2 linked regions of the Tamandua tetradactyla genome follow. The protein of the gene in region 2 interacts with the protein of the main gene of each other region in a biochemical or structural test. Links are inferred from orthologs where the notes say so. Each region holds a gene or a part of one and is shown on either strand. Other genes may lie near its edges.

Region 1 (7,674 bases), about 61 Mb from region 2:
TGGAAGGTGGCTTCCTGGACTTCTGCCATTAGGCAGGCGAATCCCTCAGGCTGCCGCCAGATGGCGGTGCTGTTCTGGAACCATTCCAGTGGGACAATGCCTGGCACCCACACCCCCACCCCACCCCACTCCACCACACACAAGAATTTGGGACTGGATGGAGGATAAAAGCAAGATATTGGCCCTCTTTAATATCCACGAAACCAAAGCTGAGGGGATGGGGGTGGAAAGGTAAAAGGAAAGGGAGAGTAGTGAAGGTGAACCTAGGAAGAGGCCTCTCTCCGCCCTGTCCGAGGCCTTTGTCTAGTCAAGTCTGCTATTTCCAATACTACCCACCCTAAGCTTCCACCTTTTACAGCACAATCATAGTTTCACAAACCCCAAGAAGGTGCCATGTGGAGAGAGGCTGAGTTTGGCCATTGCTCGAGGGATGATAACACTCAGAATATCCCCCTGATATAAATGGAAGACACCTGAGGAAAGAGAGAAAATAGATGCTCAGTAAAGTAGCCATCCCGACACTCTTCTACCTCACCCTCCCTTCTCCAGCTCCAGCTTTTTTCTGCCGTCAGTAAGGACCTAGATATTTTGTCCTTTCTTCCGCAAATCTTCCCCATCATAGTTCCCCATTAGCGCCATGTCTGCTCTCCTCAGCCGCCTCCACTGCCCAGTGGCTCTCACCTGCACTGTAGCAGCTATTGTAAGCCCGGTCGGGGTTGGAGGGCATACTTTGCACACATCGGAACAGAGTCTCTTGCCTTCCCTGGCTCTCCCGAGACACCACTTGGCCCATGGTGAAGGTCACGTCATGAAACAGGACCTGGCAGGGCAGGAGGGAGATGTTTCAGAGACTTAGTTCTAGGAGGCTTCAGAAGCCCCAAGATGGGAGGCTGGAGGGGGTCTTCTCAAGTTGATATGGACAGAGGTATCCAGGCCCCCCGGTGAGGATCAGGGTATGTTGGGGTTACCTGGCTATACAGCAGATAAATTCCAGTGTCCCAGACTCGGACAACGTATCCTTGGGCCTCAAGACCTCTCCCACGCTTAAGAGTTGGTTGCCACATCACTTCTGTCACATCAGAGTCCTCTGGAGGTGAGGAGCCTGACAGTTAAGATTCCTCTGCACTCTCAGACACTTTGGTGACTCTCACCTTTTTACCTCTATGATTCTCTGGAGCCCCGCTGCCAGCCCCCAGGTTCCCAGGTCTTACCCCTCCCACCAAGTCATTTTTAAAACAGTGCTCACCCTTGGAGGTGATGTTAACGGGAACAAGGTGCAGAACTGAGTGCTTCTCTGAGGAGAAAAGGAGATCTCAGTAGGGCCTGCCACCCAATCCTGTTGTCTCAGCCCTGGGCAACAGACCCCATGCTGCTTGGTCACCTCCCACCCCTCCTGCACCCCAGAGGCCTCACTCTTCTGTTTGTGGGTGAGCACTGCTCTCCTTCTCCGGGATCTCCCCCCATTCCAGGTTCCCAGGTCATCAGGGCTCTGCATATGGAAAGAGGGTCAGTTATGCCAAGACGCAAAGGCCCCAGAGAGCCTTCCCTCCCAGACCATTCCCCACCACCACCACCCCACCCTGTGCCCCAGGAATGCCTCAGATGTCCCCTGCCCCTTTCCCCAGCCCCCTCAGTCTCAGTACTGGCTGTCCTCCAGGATCTATTAGGTATCAGAAGCATTAATCTTTAACAGTTTCCTTTCCTCAAATGGCCACTCTCTTGCCTTCCAAACCCAGTGACCCTCTTCTGAATCTGCTTAAAACTTTGCCCACCAGGAGGCAGGAGCTGAGAAGCCCAGAGAACCCCTGCCACCCATCCCTCTCTTCCAGACATTGTTCTGTTCTCACTTACCTGCTCCTGGAGGCTCTGCCAGGGGTACCCCTCCCCCTTCTGGGGAGGGCCTGCAGTCCTCTGCAGCCAGGCCACCTCTCTCCTTAGGTTTTGCAGCTCTGTTTGTTGAATCAGCAATGCCATGGCACAAGCCACAGCACCCAGAGCCGCCCCCCAACTCAACCAGAGGGCAAGAGAGAGTGCCCGCTCTTGGACCGGGCTCTCCCTGTCACCTGGGAACCCTTGGGGGGCTAGTGAGGCAGGAGACAAAGCTGGCATGAGCTGGGGACACTGCTAACAGCTGTGCCTTCGGGAGTGGGGTAGCAAGGAGGTGGCAGGGAGGATGGGAGTGCAGGCAGTAGTGCAGTAGGAAAGAAGGGCCTTACGCAAGGGAGAGATAAAAAGGAACTTGAGAGTGAAAAGGACAGAGGAGGAAAGCAAGCAAGGAGTATTGTCTGGTGCTCCCAAGTACCCCGCAGTGGGACCAGTGTCGCCTGAGACCCCACCCCCGCCCCCCCACCCCCCCAGTCTCAGGGGAATCTGGTGTCAGTCCCTCTAGGAAGGACAGGGCTGCCAATGACACCCAGGAGGAGCGGCCTGAGCCCAGGAGCCCTGGGGCCGCCCCAGAAGTGGGGGGAGGGAGGGTTGGCTGGCTCCAGGGCATGGTGCCAGGAGGAGGGATGGAAGACAAGCTGGGCAGGGGCGAGGGTCGGGGATGAAGGTGGCTGACATCGGCTCTCTGGCTCTGGTGCTGGAGATCTCGGTGACCTGCTAGGGGTGACTGAAGCTGGGGGGTGGGAGGGGGCAGGGAGGAGAATCACAATCGCAGAAGCAAAAAATCCTGGGGTTAAGGCTGGGTCGGGTGTGTTGGAATCAGCCTTGCACTACTCCCTAGGCTGAACTTGGCAAGCAGGAGACTTCCTGTTTCCCGAGAAAAGCTCTTACATAAGGCTATAGATGAAGAGAGAAAGAGGCAGCCCCGGACACCCTCGCCACCGTAGGATTCCTCCCTGGGACCCAGGGCCCGGGTCCCCATGTTCCCGAGGCCCCCCAGCATCCCACCTGCTGACCCTGGGCCCCTACCCTTATCCCAGCCAGGGTCTGTGCCCGAGGCCAAGAGGAAGCGTCCCCTGCTCCTCCCGGCCAGGGATTCCCCTGCAGGAGGAGGTCCGCCTCTTAGGTAAATGAGGCCTGTTGTGCTGTACCTTGGGCCAAGAACTGATTTTGTCCTGGGCAGGCTGCCTTGCCACTCTGGGCTCACATCTTGGGGTCAGAGACACGCAGGTTCCCCCACTCCTGTTCTGTACAATCCCCTGGAATTATTCCAGGTGTCCTGCGCCCCTCTCCCCAAAGTCCAGAATCCCCCTTCCCCATGCCACTTGGCTACCCTGAAAATGTCCATTAAGCCCCAATAAAGAGACAGCCCATGACTTCTTTTCTTTAATATCCACTTATCAACATTTTTGTTGCAATAATAATAAAAATAACATCTGTTTTAAAAATCCACAGGGAATTGTTAGGGGAGGAGCTCTGTCTTGCCCTCGTATCCCTCACACTGGGCAACTCCTGGCCCAGGTCCCTAGTCTTGGCTTCCTGCCACCAGGTCCAGCCCCTCTCAGTGCTGGAGGAGGGGTCTTCCGACCCATCCTGGCCTACGAGTACAGTAAACACACTGTCCTGGGGCTACAAGCCAGGGTCAGGGGCAGGAGATAAATGGGGCTTAGAAAGGCCAGAGGTTTGGAAATTAGTGAGGTGGAGAGCCAGGGGCCAGGGGTGGGGAGACTGTAAGAGAAGAATGGGAATATTTATGTGGGAAGGGAACCCAGTGAAAGAGCCCTGGCAGCTTACAGAGAGAGGGGCAGAGGGGACCCTGGTGCTTGTGCTGTGGGGGCCCAGCAGCCTGGCAAAGCCACGGTGAGTCCAGGGCCCCTCAGTGAATTTGGAAGAGTCCAAAGTAGGTAAGGAAGGGGGCAGCCTTGAGATGGGCCCAAGGGAGGGTGCGGATGCGCAGGGAGGACCCCAGCCTCAGGGGCAGCAGCCCGGACACCTGGCAGAGACGGAGCTGGGGCCCGAGGGAGCTGGCAGCGGTGGCCGAGAATTCCTCCAGGCAGCGCAGGGCCAGTGAGTCATCCACCAGCAAGTCCAGCTTCAGGTAGACAGCCTTCCCCTCATCAAAGTGCACCTGGGGGGCAGGCCCAGACGCTGCCTGCCTTTGCCTCTGGTTCAGATTTCCTTAGAGACCCAGCTATCCCATCCCACCCAGACCCCAAGCTCTCTCTCTTCAGTCTTAGCTGGCCCCCTAACCTCTCCCCACCCCACCCCTGAGAAAAGAAAACCTCTCCCCCACTTACCACGTGGAGCCAAGTGGGGCTTACCTGACAATACAGGTAGTAGAGCCCAGGGCGGGTGACAGTGAATTCCCCGCTCTGGCGATCATAACGCAGTGGGTTGGAGCTGTTGATTTTGGCCTCTTCCCAGCCACGCACTGTCCCGTCCACACCTGACCATTGTTGGTGTTGAGAGATAAGGAAAAGTCCCTTTACAGGACCGCCCCACGCTCCGCAGGGATCCACCGACTTTACAAATGTTAGGAGCATAAATGACCCAGAAGATACACAGATCCCAGGTCAACGGGGGAGCCTGGTACATGGTAGAAAAAGTTATGTGAAGAAATCCAACACGTACCTGATTAAACATGCAAAGGAAAGGACCAGAAAATAGAGAGCAAATTGTCCTCAGTAGTCACTTCTGGGGAGACGAGTTGGATCGAAGGAGAAGCGGGGCAGCGGTGGTGGTGAAGACAACACTTTTTTTATACTTTATTTCATCTACGTCTATATTGTTTGCCTCGTTTACATTGAGAATGTACACATACATTAATCGAAGCATACATACATTACCTGAATTATTAAAAATAAAGTCATATCCAGATATCCATCAATTGAGGAACGGATAAACAAAATGTGGAATATTATTGGGCAATAAAAAAAGAATGAAGTTCTGATCTAGCCTACAACATGAATGAACCTTGAAAACACTTTATGCTAAGTGAAAGAAACCAGTCACAAAGGACCACATATTATATGACTCCATTTATATGAAGTGCCCAGACTAGGCAAAGATGTAGAGACAGAAAGTAGATTAGTGATTGCTAAGGATTGGGGTGTGGGAGCTTGAGAGGTGACAGCTAAAGGACATGGTGTTGCTTTCCAAGGTGAAGAGAATGAACTAAAATCGATCGTGTGCTGGCTGAACAAAAATTCAGTGAATATGCTAAAAATCATTTTGCTTATCCATTCATGGCATGTGAATTATATCTCAATAAAGCTGTTTCCAAAACAACAACAACAGGGCGGGCCGCGGTGGCTCAGCGGGCAAGAGTGCTTGCCTGCCGTGCCGGAGGACCCCGGTTCGATTCCCGGCCCCAGCCCATGTAAAAAACAAACAAACAAACAAAATATAATAAAAAAAAACAAGAAAATGTTTAAAAATGTTTCCCTTTCTTCCTCCTTTCCTTCCTTCCATCCTTCCTTCCTTCTCTGTCTTTCCTTCCTTTAAAAAAAAAAAAAAAAAAAAAAAACAACAAAAACCCTCTAGAGCTGGAGTAATTGCAAATTGAAAAATAACAATAATAATAAAATGATAAAGCAGTGTATCTCATGGCTTCCCAGGTTTTCTTTGGTCTGCCCACCTACCTCGCCAATCTCATCTCACACCTGCACTCCAATTCACAAGGCTCCAGCCACTCTGGCCTTCTCTCTGTTCCTTCTCACATGCCACACTCCTTCTCAGACACGCTCCCAGGGTTCCTCTCCTAGCTGGCACCTTCTTTCTTCCCTCCCTCCCTTCCTTATTTTTATTGTGGTAACATATGCCCAACATAAAATCTCCCATGTTTACCACTCTCAAGTATACAACTCAGCGGTGTTAACTACAGTCACACTGTTGTGTTCTCATCACCAGCAGCCACGACCAAAACCCTTCCATCACCACAGACAGAAACTCTGTTCCCATCAAGCCTTAACTCCCCACCCCTCCCCCAGTCTCTGTAACCCATATTCTAATTTCTGATGCTGAATTTGCATATTCTAATTATTTCATATAAGTGAGATCAGAAAATATTTCTTCTTTTGTATATGGCTTATTTCACTCAACATTGCATCTTCAAGATTCAGCCATGTTGTAGTGTGCATCAAAACTTCATTCCTTTTTTGGCTGCATAATATTCCATTGCATTTTATTTATCCATTCATCTAGTTGATAGGCACTTGGGTTGCTTCCGGTACCTTCTATCTGTCAGGTCTCAACTCATCTGAGAGACCTTCCCAGGCACCCAGTTTAAAATAACCAGTCCCATTCCTGCCCCTATTGATCTCTTCACATCACCCTATGTCTTTCAGAGCAGTCGCCAGCAGTGGAAATTATCTAATTTGTTTATGTACGTGTTAGTTTGGGGTGTAACTCCCCTGCGAGAGCAGGGGCAACCTTGTCTGGCTTCCAGTCTCTGGCGTCTGGGGACAGGCCTAGTCTCAGCAGGTACCCAGTCAGTATTGCTGGGAAGACAGAGGGAAGGAGGTGAAAAGGGCTGGCAGCTTTTGCTTGGGTTCATGGGTCTCTCCCCTGGTCCTCACCAGCAAGACTCAAGGAGACTTGGCAGCTGCTTCCTCTGTCCTTATCACTTTCAAGCCACATACTCTGGTTGGACATTATCACTACTGATGATGGGTGTATCATGAGCGAAACTTTGTAGACAGATCTGAGTTTCCAACCCTGAAGTGTCCTGCCCTTCCTTGCCCTGCTAAATGCTGCCATCTGATAGCTGTGGGCACCTCAAACTCATCTTGGTCACACCGCGCTTGTCCCTCACCCCACTTCAAACTTGCTTTACTGTCTGTATTACATTTTTGGCTCTGGTTTCACCCTTCCTCTCCTATAATGCCAACTTTATTCATTGATCATCAGTTCCCAACAATTTTGCCTCCTAAATGACTTTCCCAACTCTGTCCCAAGCCTATTCTCTGACATTTCTCATGGGACTACTCTGCTTCGGGCCTCCTACTTCCAATCTTGTCTCCTCCAGCTTACTCCCTGCACACACAAGGCCACAGTGATGTTTCTAAAAGGCAGATTTGATCCTGCCGCCCCTTGCCCTTATTCTTTTGATGGCTCACCTCTAAATAACTCCCATACTCCTTTTGCGACCTGGCTTCTGTCCTCTTCTCCAGCCTCCTACCCTGTCCTGTCCCTCCAGTACTTTCAGCTTTGGCCACACTGAACTTCTCACAGTCCCCCAGCCTCATCACACTCTTGGAGAATTCAGGGCTTTTGTACAAGTGCTTCCTTTTATCTGTAATGTCCTGAACCCTTTGTCCATCTTATGCTCAGGCTCCAAGGCCCAACGAAGCCCCACTTTCTTGGGGAAAGAGTCCTGAATGCCATTGTAAAGTTTGTCTTCCTCTATACCACCAGGTATCTTCAGCTATTGCATTATTAAACTCGTTGTATTGTAATATAATTGCACATTTGTATGCCTAACTCCTCTCTTACACGGTGACTCCTTGAGGATAGGCCTGAGTCTTATGTGGTCATGCTGGCCCATTCCCTAACACACCGTAGTCTCTCAGTGCATGTGTGTTGAATTAATGAATGAACAAACAAATGAATGGTTGGGTCACTGCTAAAATAAGTGGTGCATGCAGAGGGGAAGAAGACTAGCCTGGAGCATGACAAGTAGCAGGGAGGGGGCATTCCTGGCCATGGGATTAGCGTGAGCAAAGGCTGGTTGAGGCAGAAGAGCCTGGAGTGCCTGTTGCCATGGGAGGGCTACCTGGTGTCCCTGCAGTT
Region 2 (8,065 bases):
ACAACGAGTGTTGGTGAGGATGTGGAGAAACTGGAACCCTCATATGTAGCTTTTGGGATTATAAAACGGTGCAGCCCCTTTGAAAAACATTTGGCAGTTTCTCAAAATGTTAAACACAGTTGCCACAGGAACCAACAATTCCACTTGGGTCTCTGTTTACCCAGGAGAAAGGAAAACGTGGGCCACACAAAACCTGGACACCAATGCTCACGGAAGCATTGTCCACAAGAGCCCAGAAGTGGCAACAACTCACCGTGTCCATTAACAGATAATGGATAAAGAAAATGTGTTCTAACCACACAGTGAAGCTTATTTGGTCACAGAAAGGAATGACGTACTGATATTTTCTGTAACCTGGATGTACCTGGAAAACATTATGCTTAGTGAAAGAAGCAGCCACAAAGCACCAGGTATTGTAGGTTCCACTTATATGAAATGCCCAGAACTGGCAAAACTGCAGAGACGGAAAGGAGACTGGTATTTCCTCAGGGTGGGGGGTGGGGGATAAAAATGCCCTAAAACTGAATTATGGTGAGTGGCAGTTCACCTCTGTCACTGCACTGAAAGCATTTAGCCACACACCTTAAGCAGGAGAACTTCATGGGGTGAAATTATATCCCAATAAAGCCGTCAGGGGAGGCAGGAACTGGGGATGGGGAACAAAAAGAAAGGAGGAGTTTTTTCTGTATTCTTCCTATACTTTCTGGTTTTCAAATCACGTGGTATGCCACCTGTTTAGAAATCACCAGGAGGAGCTAGAAGGGAAAACCTGAAATTGTGGAACTGCAACCCATACTACACTTAGAAATCTGTTGTATAACCGCTTGTTGAAATGTACTTTAAAATGCATTGCTTTTCCTGTGTATATGCTAGATCTCACAATAAATAATGTTTAAAACTGAATAAATGAGGGGGTGTAAGGGTGGTTCAGTGGCGGAGCTCTCACCTGCCATGTGAGGGACCCGGGTTCGATTACCGGTCTATGCACTTCCCCCAAAAACAAACAACCGAAACAAAGAAAAAACAAATAAAAAGTCAACAAATGGTGCCGCAATAACGGATTATTCACATGGAAAAAGAATGAAATGTGACCCTGTCATACAGCATACAAAAAATTTTTTTTTTTAATGAATAAATGCCCCTCAAAAAAATCACCAGGAATGGATAAAGTGAAAGAGACCCTGCTCCCCTCCCACCTGAAGGGGGAGTGGCAGGGAGGGCGTCTCACTCTCTCTGACACACACACGTGCACACACATGCATGCACACACACACGCATGCACATGCACGCGCATGCACACACACACACACACACACACACACACACACAGCCCGGGGCGGCTGTGGGCGGGAAGGTCGTCCCTGCTTCCTCTCTACCACCACCTAAACCCCGAAAACCCCAGAACCATCATCCACCCCCAAAGAGGGCCCAGCTGGGGAGAGGCTGGAGAAAGAAGCCCGGGAGAGGTAAAGGGGCCAGGGGAGAACGCGCTTCCACTCGCCGGGGCTGGGGGCTGGGCTGGGCCCCAGGGTCCAGCCAGGATGAAGCAGCGGAGAGTCTCCGGGGCCACAGAGAGCAGAGAGGAGCCAAGAGGCAAGGGCCGGGTCTCAAAGGAGCTGCCCCGTTTCCCCAAACTGCCTGGGCTTCGTCACAGTGACCCACAAAAACAGCTCCCCTGCCAGCTTAGGCTGAAAAGTGCTGCGCTGAAGAGAATCAAGGCCTTTTTTTTTTTTGACTGCAGGCCTTCTCAAAGCCTTTGCTTGTGACTCTTCAAGGGGTGCTTTGGCAGGTACCAAGCCCTTTCTGGTTGGGGGACCCTCTGGCAGGCCAGAGGCCCTTCATTTTAAGGTGGAGGAAGTGGAGGCCCAGCAGGGGAGGGAGCTTGTTCCAGGCCCCAGGGTGGGTCTGCGAGCAGGGGAGCGCAAAGCAGGTCCCCTGGGCCCTGCCGGGAGTCGCGGCTGACCATCCTGCACACGTGGCTTCGCCCCCACCAGCGTGGCCCTGGGCTGGTCCCTGCCCTATGGTGCCAGCCGAGCCATCCCTACTCGCTACCCTGTCCAGCTCTCAGAAATGTGTGGGGGCACGGCCGCTGGACACACAGGGGGTCAGCGAAGGGACACGTGCCTCCCGAGGTGGGGGAGAGAGGGTGGCCGAGAGCAGCTGGAGGCTGTGCTGGGCAGCCCCAGGCCCCACCAGCCCCGGGCCTTGGGCACAGCCCGTGTTAGTTACTTACACTCCCAGCAAAATTGCATCTTCAAATCAGCCCATACAGCCCGCCCTGAAAAAATTCCATGGGACCCAGTTTCTTCACCAGAGAAGGAGCAAGGCAAAATACAAAAAAAGGAGCGGGAACTGTCTCCAACTAAAACGAAAGCACGATGCTGTGCTTGAAATTAATGCGACCGAATCGCACACTTGAAGGTGGTCAAAATGGGACATTTGAAGACACATAGAAATTTATGACAAATTTTACCAACGTTTTGTTGTTGTTGTTTTTATAAAGGATCTGAAGAAAAAAAAAAGTAACCAAAGGTGGGCTCTATGCAGACCCCCGTTTCAGTGAATGAGCGGGACTAGATTTATAAGGCAGCCAGGACCGCCCGGGAGCTGCCCGGCGTCTAGCGGCATGAAGGAAAGTGGGTGGCACGACGGTGAGTCCGGTTTTTTGGGCCCTTGTGTTTGGGAGACACACCCTGAGTAAACCCTCACCAAATGACGCGCTGTTCGTTAGCTTTAAAGTAATGCCGGGGCGACGAGAGGGGAATGGGGGGCCCGGTGATGGACAGCTGGCTGGACACAGGCCATTACAGAAGCTGGGGGCGTCTGCGGGCTTCTTTCCCGCTCCCTGCTGGCTCTTTGCAGCTGCAGCTTTAAAATGAAGCGTTGAGAAGGGCCACGTCCAGTCCGGCCTCGACCCCCTTCCCTGGACTGCCTGCTCCCCCCCCCCGCCCCGGCTCCCAGGGTCTGGGCTCCCAGCAGGCAGGGCCGGGGTAGGGTCAGGCTGCCCGCACCCACCCAGGTACTCACAGCGCGCGGCGAGGCTCATCCCTCGGGACGCGGGTCTGGCCGTGGGGTGGCTGGTGCCTCGGTAGCCCTGTCTGGGTTTTCCCCCACCCATGAGATGTAAATCAGCAGCCCCCGCCTGCCCCGCGCCTGCGCTACCAGGCCCAGAGCAGCCCAGCTGGGGCTCCTTCCGCCCCCTCCCACGGTGCCCCTGGAATCCCACCCCATCTGCGCCTGAGCACCTACTATGTGCAAGCAGGGAGCCAAGGCCCTGCTCATGCCTGGGATGTAGAGTAAACTCTGTCCTGAACTCAACCCTTCCCCATGTCTGCTTCGTCGCCTCCTCCTCCTCCTTCTTCCAGGCTAGGTGGAGGGGTCACCTCCTCTGGGAAGCCCTCCCTGACTGCCCCCACCAAGGTCAGTGCCACTCTCTGGGCTGCCTCTAACCCTATGAAAGCGCTGGAGAGGACAAACCCAGAGACAGGCAGACGGGGTTTGAATCTTGGCTCTGCTGCTTACCGGCTGGTGGCCAAGGGCAGTTTCCTTACCCGCTCTGGGCCTCCATTTTCTTGTCCTCACGGTGATGAGAAGGAAGTGAGTTAACCCAATAAAGTTCTTAGCATGAGTCCTTGGCCTGGAGTCAGTTCCCAATAAACAGAGCCAGGACAGAAAGCTCTTACTACACTGTTGTAACCTTCTTAACTCTGAAATCTCCAGTCTTACTCTAACACATCCCACGTACTTCCAGGTACAATTTTTATTCTGCAGCCAAAACAGGCCGATCCGACAGGTAAAGGCAATTTGCCCTACCTGCTCCTTTTCTCCAAATCTTAGCAACCTTCCCACAAAAGCTAGAAGGAAGCAGAAATCATCCATCTGTGCCCCCTGGGGGCGGGCGGGTGGCCTGCCCCTCTCTCCTCTCGCCCATGCGCTGGCCTCAGGTAACAAGATGTGGACACATAAAAAGTACTGTCTTCTAAATTCTATGCGGAGTAGAATTAAACACCACCTGGGAATTAAACATTGTTTTGAGGGGCTCAAAATTTAATTTATATTTAAATTACACAGACATGACACATTTTGACAAAGAGCTGCTGTGCAATAATCTCGTGATGTTATTTCTTTTTGCTTGTTTGTTTTTAAAGCTTTTATTCTGGTAACAAATAGCATAAAATTTCCCATTTTATCCACGTTCAATGATACAATTCAGGGGTGTTAATTAAATTCACAAAGTTGTGCCTCCATCACTATCATCCATTATCAAAACTCTTTCATCACCCCAAACAGAAAACTCCACGCCAGCCAAGCGTAACTCCCCTTTCCCCATCCCGGCCCCTGTGACTAGTAACTTGAATCATCATTTCGGCCTCTATGAATTTGCTTATTTGTCCTTTTGTACCTGAGTTTTTTCACTCAACATGCCTTAAAGGTCCATCCATGTATCAGAACTTCCTTCCTTCTCACAGCTAATAATATCCTGCTGTACATCTGCACCGCCCTTTGTTTAGCCGTTCATCGGTTGAGGGGCATGTGGGTTCCAACTGCGAAGAAGGCCACTGTGGATTTCCGTGTGAAAATACCTGTTTGAGCCCCTGCTTTCAGTTCTTTTGGGTTCACTCCTAGAAGCGGAATTGCCAGGTCATATGGAACTCGATACTTGACTTTCCGAGGAACCACCGAACTGTTTTCCACGGAAGCTGCACTCTTTTACACCCCGCAACAGTGCCTCGGGTTCCTGTCTCTCCACATCCTCTCCCACACTTGTCATTTTCCTTTTTTTTTTAAAGTAACCATTTTAGTAGGTATGAAAGGCTATCTTGTGGTTTTATTTGCATCTCTCTGATGGCTAAAGATGTGAGGCATCTTCTCATGAGCTTACTAGCCATTTATATATCTTCTTTGGAGAAATTTTTATGGAAATTTTTTGCCCATTTTATTTGGGTTGTTTGTCTTTCTTGAGTTGTCAGAGTTCTTTATATATTCTAGATATTAAGCCCTTATCAGATACATATAGTTGCCAAATATTTTTCCTTCAATCTGTAGGTTGCCTTTTTACTTTTTTGATAAAGTCCTTGGATCCTCAAAAGTTTTTAATTGATGAAGTCACGTTTACCTATTTTTTGTTTGTTTTTTTTTTTACATGGGCAGGCACCGGGAATCGAACCCGGGTCCTTGGGCATGGCAGGCAAGCATTCTTACCTGCGGAGCCACCGTGGCCCGCCCCCTATTTCTTGTTTTGTTGGTTGTACTTTGGGTATAAATTCTAGGAAAGCACTGCCCTGCATGTGGTCTCGAACATGCTTCCCGATGTTTTCCTCCAGGAATTGTATAGTCTTGGTTTTTATATTTACGTCTTTGATCCATTTTGAGTTCTTTCCTTTTCATTTTGGTTTGAAAAATAACATTTAAAAAATTTTTTTAAAGTTAATTGTGCAGTATAGAAATCAGAAAAGCACAGGAAGGAAAGAACGCAAAACTCATCCAGAATCCTCCGAATTCACAGCTAGGCCTCTCCTCCTAGCCCCTTCTGTGTCGCGCACGGCTGAGCATGCATTGTTGTGTGGCTGCGATCCCACGGAATGGGTCATGCTTTTTCATGAATATTTCGAGTCCCAAAGCCGTGAGGATTGTAACCAAAGTGCAGGACGCCCCGAGTCAACCTTTGAATGCGCTGCGGGACGGGTGTCTCCCTTCTCTCGTGCGGACACAGTTCCCAGCACCCTTTGATGAAGAGGCCGCACTGGCGCCCTTCTCAGAGGCCAGCTGGCCGTGGATGTGAGGCCCTGGTTATGTCTCTGATTCCCCTGCTCCCTGAAACCCAGCGCAACTTTTGGGGTGGCTGAGAATGGAAGGGCAGCGCTCCTTCGTCACCCTTCTGTCCAAACCTGTCTTAGAGGTTAGGAACTTGACCTACTGTTTCGTTTTCTTTGATGTGAGGTGCAATTTACATGCAGTGAAACCCCATGCGTGCTTCCACCCTCGGAGCTGCTGCCTTGGGGACCCAGACGAGCCAGGTGCACCCCAGAAGGCTCCCTCAGGCCCTTCCAGGCAGTAGAAAGCGCCCCACCCCACCCGGAGGTAGCCACCCCTCCGGCCCCTTGCCAGAGACGCACGGTGCCTGCACTTGGCATAAGTGCATTCATCCTATGTCCACCTCTTTCTCTCCATATTGGATATTAATGAACTGGACAGAAGCCAGCTGCGGCCTCGGCGGGGGGTGGGGGTGTCGCTGCATCTCCGGGGGGGGCCACGCCAAGCCCCCAGAATAACCTGGAGGAAGCACCCCAGCCCCCACCAGCCCCAAGGGCCACACGATGTGGGGGTGTCACTGCGGGGTGGCCCGGTGAGCCCCTGGACCTGCACACGTGGGGTCCCTCGGAGCAGGGGAGGGTTCTGAGCCCCCCAAGCCTCACTCTGCAGCCCTTTCTGGGTTTTCTCCAGAGGACCCGGGGTCCTAATTTTTTAACATTGTTCATTGTGAAAAATGACATAAACTCAAAGTAAAGAAAGAAATACTTTTCAAAGCACACTTCAACAAGTAGTTACAGAACAGATCCCAGAGTTTGTCATGGGCTACCACTCCACCATCTCAGGTTTTTCCTTCTCGCTGCTCCAGAACCTGGAGGCTGGAAGGAATATCAATATAGTAATTCAGCAGCCATACTCCATCTGTTAAATCCCATTTTCTCTGTTATACCTCCTCTTGTCTCCTCTGATCCTTCTCCCAATCTACAGGGATCTTTGGGCAATGTCTGTTGTGACTTTTTCATGTTGAGAAGGGATGTCTACTGAAGGAGAGGGGGATGGAACTAATTGATAATTCTGGAGAGGCTGGTCCCTCTGGGTTTCAGGAGTCATCTGATCCAAGAATCCTCTGGGAATATATGTTTCAGGGAGGCAAACCTAGAGATGAAACCTCTACAGAGTCTCAGTTCGAGCCCTAGGTGTTCTTAAGAGTCAACAGGAGTGATGGTGGTTGGGGTTTGGCTGACATGGGAATCAGCACTATCTAACTGAGGCTTGCGTGACGGCAGCCTCCAGAGCAGCCTGTCGAGTCGACTTTATTTCTTTTGGCCACTGATGCCTTAGTTTATTACATTTCTTTCCCCCTTTGGGTCAGGAAGGCGTTGCCCATCCCACGGTGCCAGGGCCAGGCTCATCCTCGGGAGTCCCGCCCCACGTTGTCAGGGAAACTTTCACCCCTGAGGGTCACGTCCCGGGTGGAAGAGTCAGGATTCCATGTTTACGTCTCACAGTCAAGGTAGCAGGAATCTGGGGCCCAGAATAAAACCACCAGGCTTTCGGAGCTGACACCTGTGCATATGTACGTCTGCCCAAACAAATGTGCTCGTGGTGAGAAAAAAATGAAAAAAGGGAACAGAAGGAAAAGTACATTTCTCTCCAGCTGAGATTACCCAGTCCCTACGCAGAGGCCCTGGCCATCGGCAGAGCTTGTCCCCGCGCTGTCCGGCAAGCCCAGGCATTTGGGAGCCTTCCTGAGTAACCGCATTATCTGCTTTGCCTTGCCCCACCCCCTTTCTCACACAGCCATGGCCCTCTGTGCACTGAACGCTGTGTTCAGCCTCTTCCTTTCTTTCCTGGCACACACAGCCGATCGTCTGTCTGTTTCAACGTGCTCTTAAAGTGCAGAGACAGTGGTGACAGCAGAGCCTTCTGCAGCCCTGCCCGCTGCAGCGACTGTTCTCACCCCCTGCCCCGCTGCAGCGACTGTTCTCGACCTTTGTCTGCTCACCACACGTGTTTTACCTTCTGACTGACGCGGGGTTTCTCGTCCTGGGGAGGGAGGCTTTTGGCCGGTGTTTGCCAGTGAGCAGCTCAGATTTAAACAGGGACAGCTGTGAAATGGCTTCTCCTAAGTTCCTCAACCTGTTCTATATGTGGCATCTGGGCAGTGAGAGTTTCTGTCAGGGCCGCTCGCCGCCCCTCGCAGGCCCTTGGGACCTCGCTGGGGACACTTCTCCCGCCACCCGCCAGAGCAAGACAAAAGCAAAAGTGTCCAAAAAAAGGGTATTTCTTAGAAATGCAGTGAAAGCCCCAATTT

Evidence for each region.
Region 1: the proteins of TNFRSF13B (region 2) and TNFSF13 form a complex in vitro, tested with the Homo sapiens proteins (2 studies listed by BioGRID and IntAct). The link is inferred for Tamandua tetradactyla from reciprocal best matches to the Homo sapiens genes TNFRSF13B and TNFSF13.

The regions. Positions count from the first base shown.
Region 1 is NC_135332.1:61,415,119-61,422,792, reverse strand, and holds TNFSF13 (tumor necrosis factor ligand superfamily member 13), read right to left. Parts: upstream 3,009-7,674; 5' UTR 2,110-3,008; coding exon 1,852-2,109; intron 1,490-1,851; coding exon 1,414-1,489; intron 1,295-1,413; coding exon 1,247-1,294; intron 1,103-1,246; coding exon 969-1,102; intron 821-968; coding exon 682-820; intron 474-681; coding exon 364-473; 3' UTR 166-363; downstream 1-165. Other genes in the region: TNFSF12 (tumor necrosis factor ligand superfamily member 12), read right to left, coding at 3,761-4,012, 4,206-4,330. UniProt on the Homo sapiens protein: Cytokine that binds to TNFRSF13B/TACI and to TNFRSF17/BCMA. Plays a role in the regulation of tumor cell growth. May be involved in monocyte/macrophage-mediated immunological processes.
Region 2 is NC_135332.1:524,042-532,106, forward strand, and holds the start of TNFRSF13B (tumor necrosis factor receptor superfamily member 13B), read right to left. Parts: upstream 3,084-8,065; 5' UTR 3,047-3,083; coding exon 3,028-3,046; intron 1-3,027. UniProt on the Homo sapiens protein: Receptor for TNFSF13/APRIL and TNFSF13B/TALL1/BAFF/BLYS that binds both ligands with similar high affinity. Mediates calcineurin-dependent activation of NF-AT, as well as activation of NF-kappa-B and AP-1.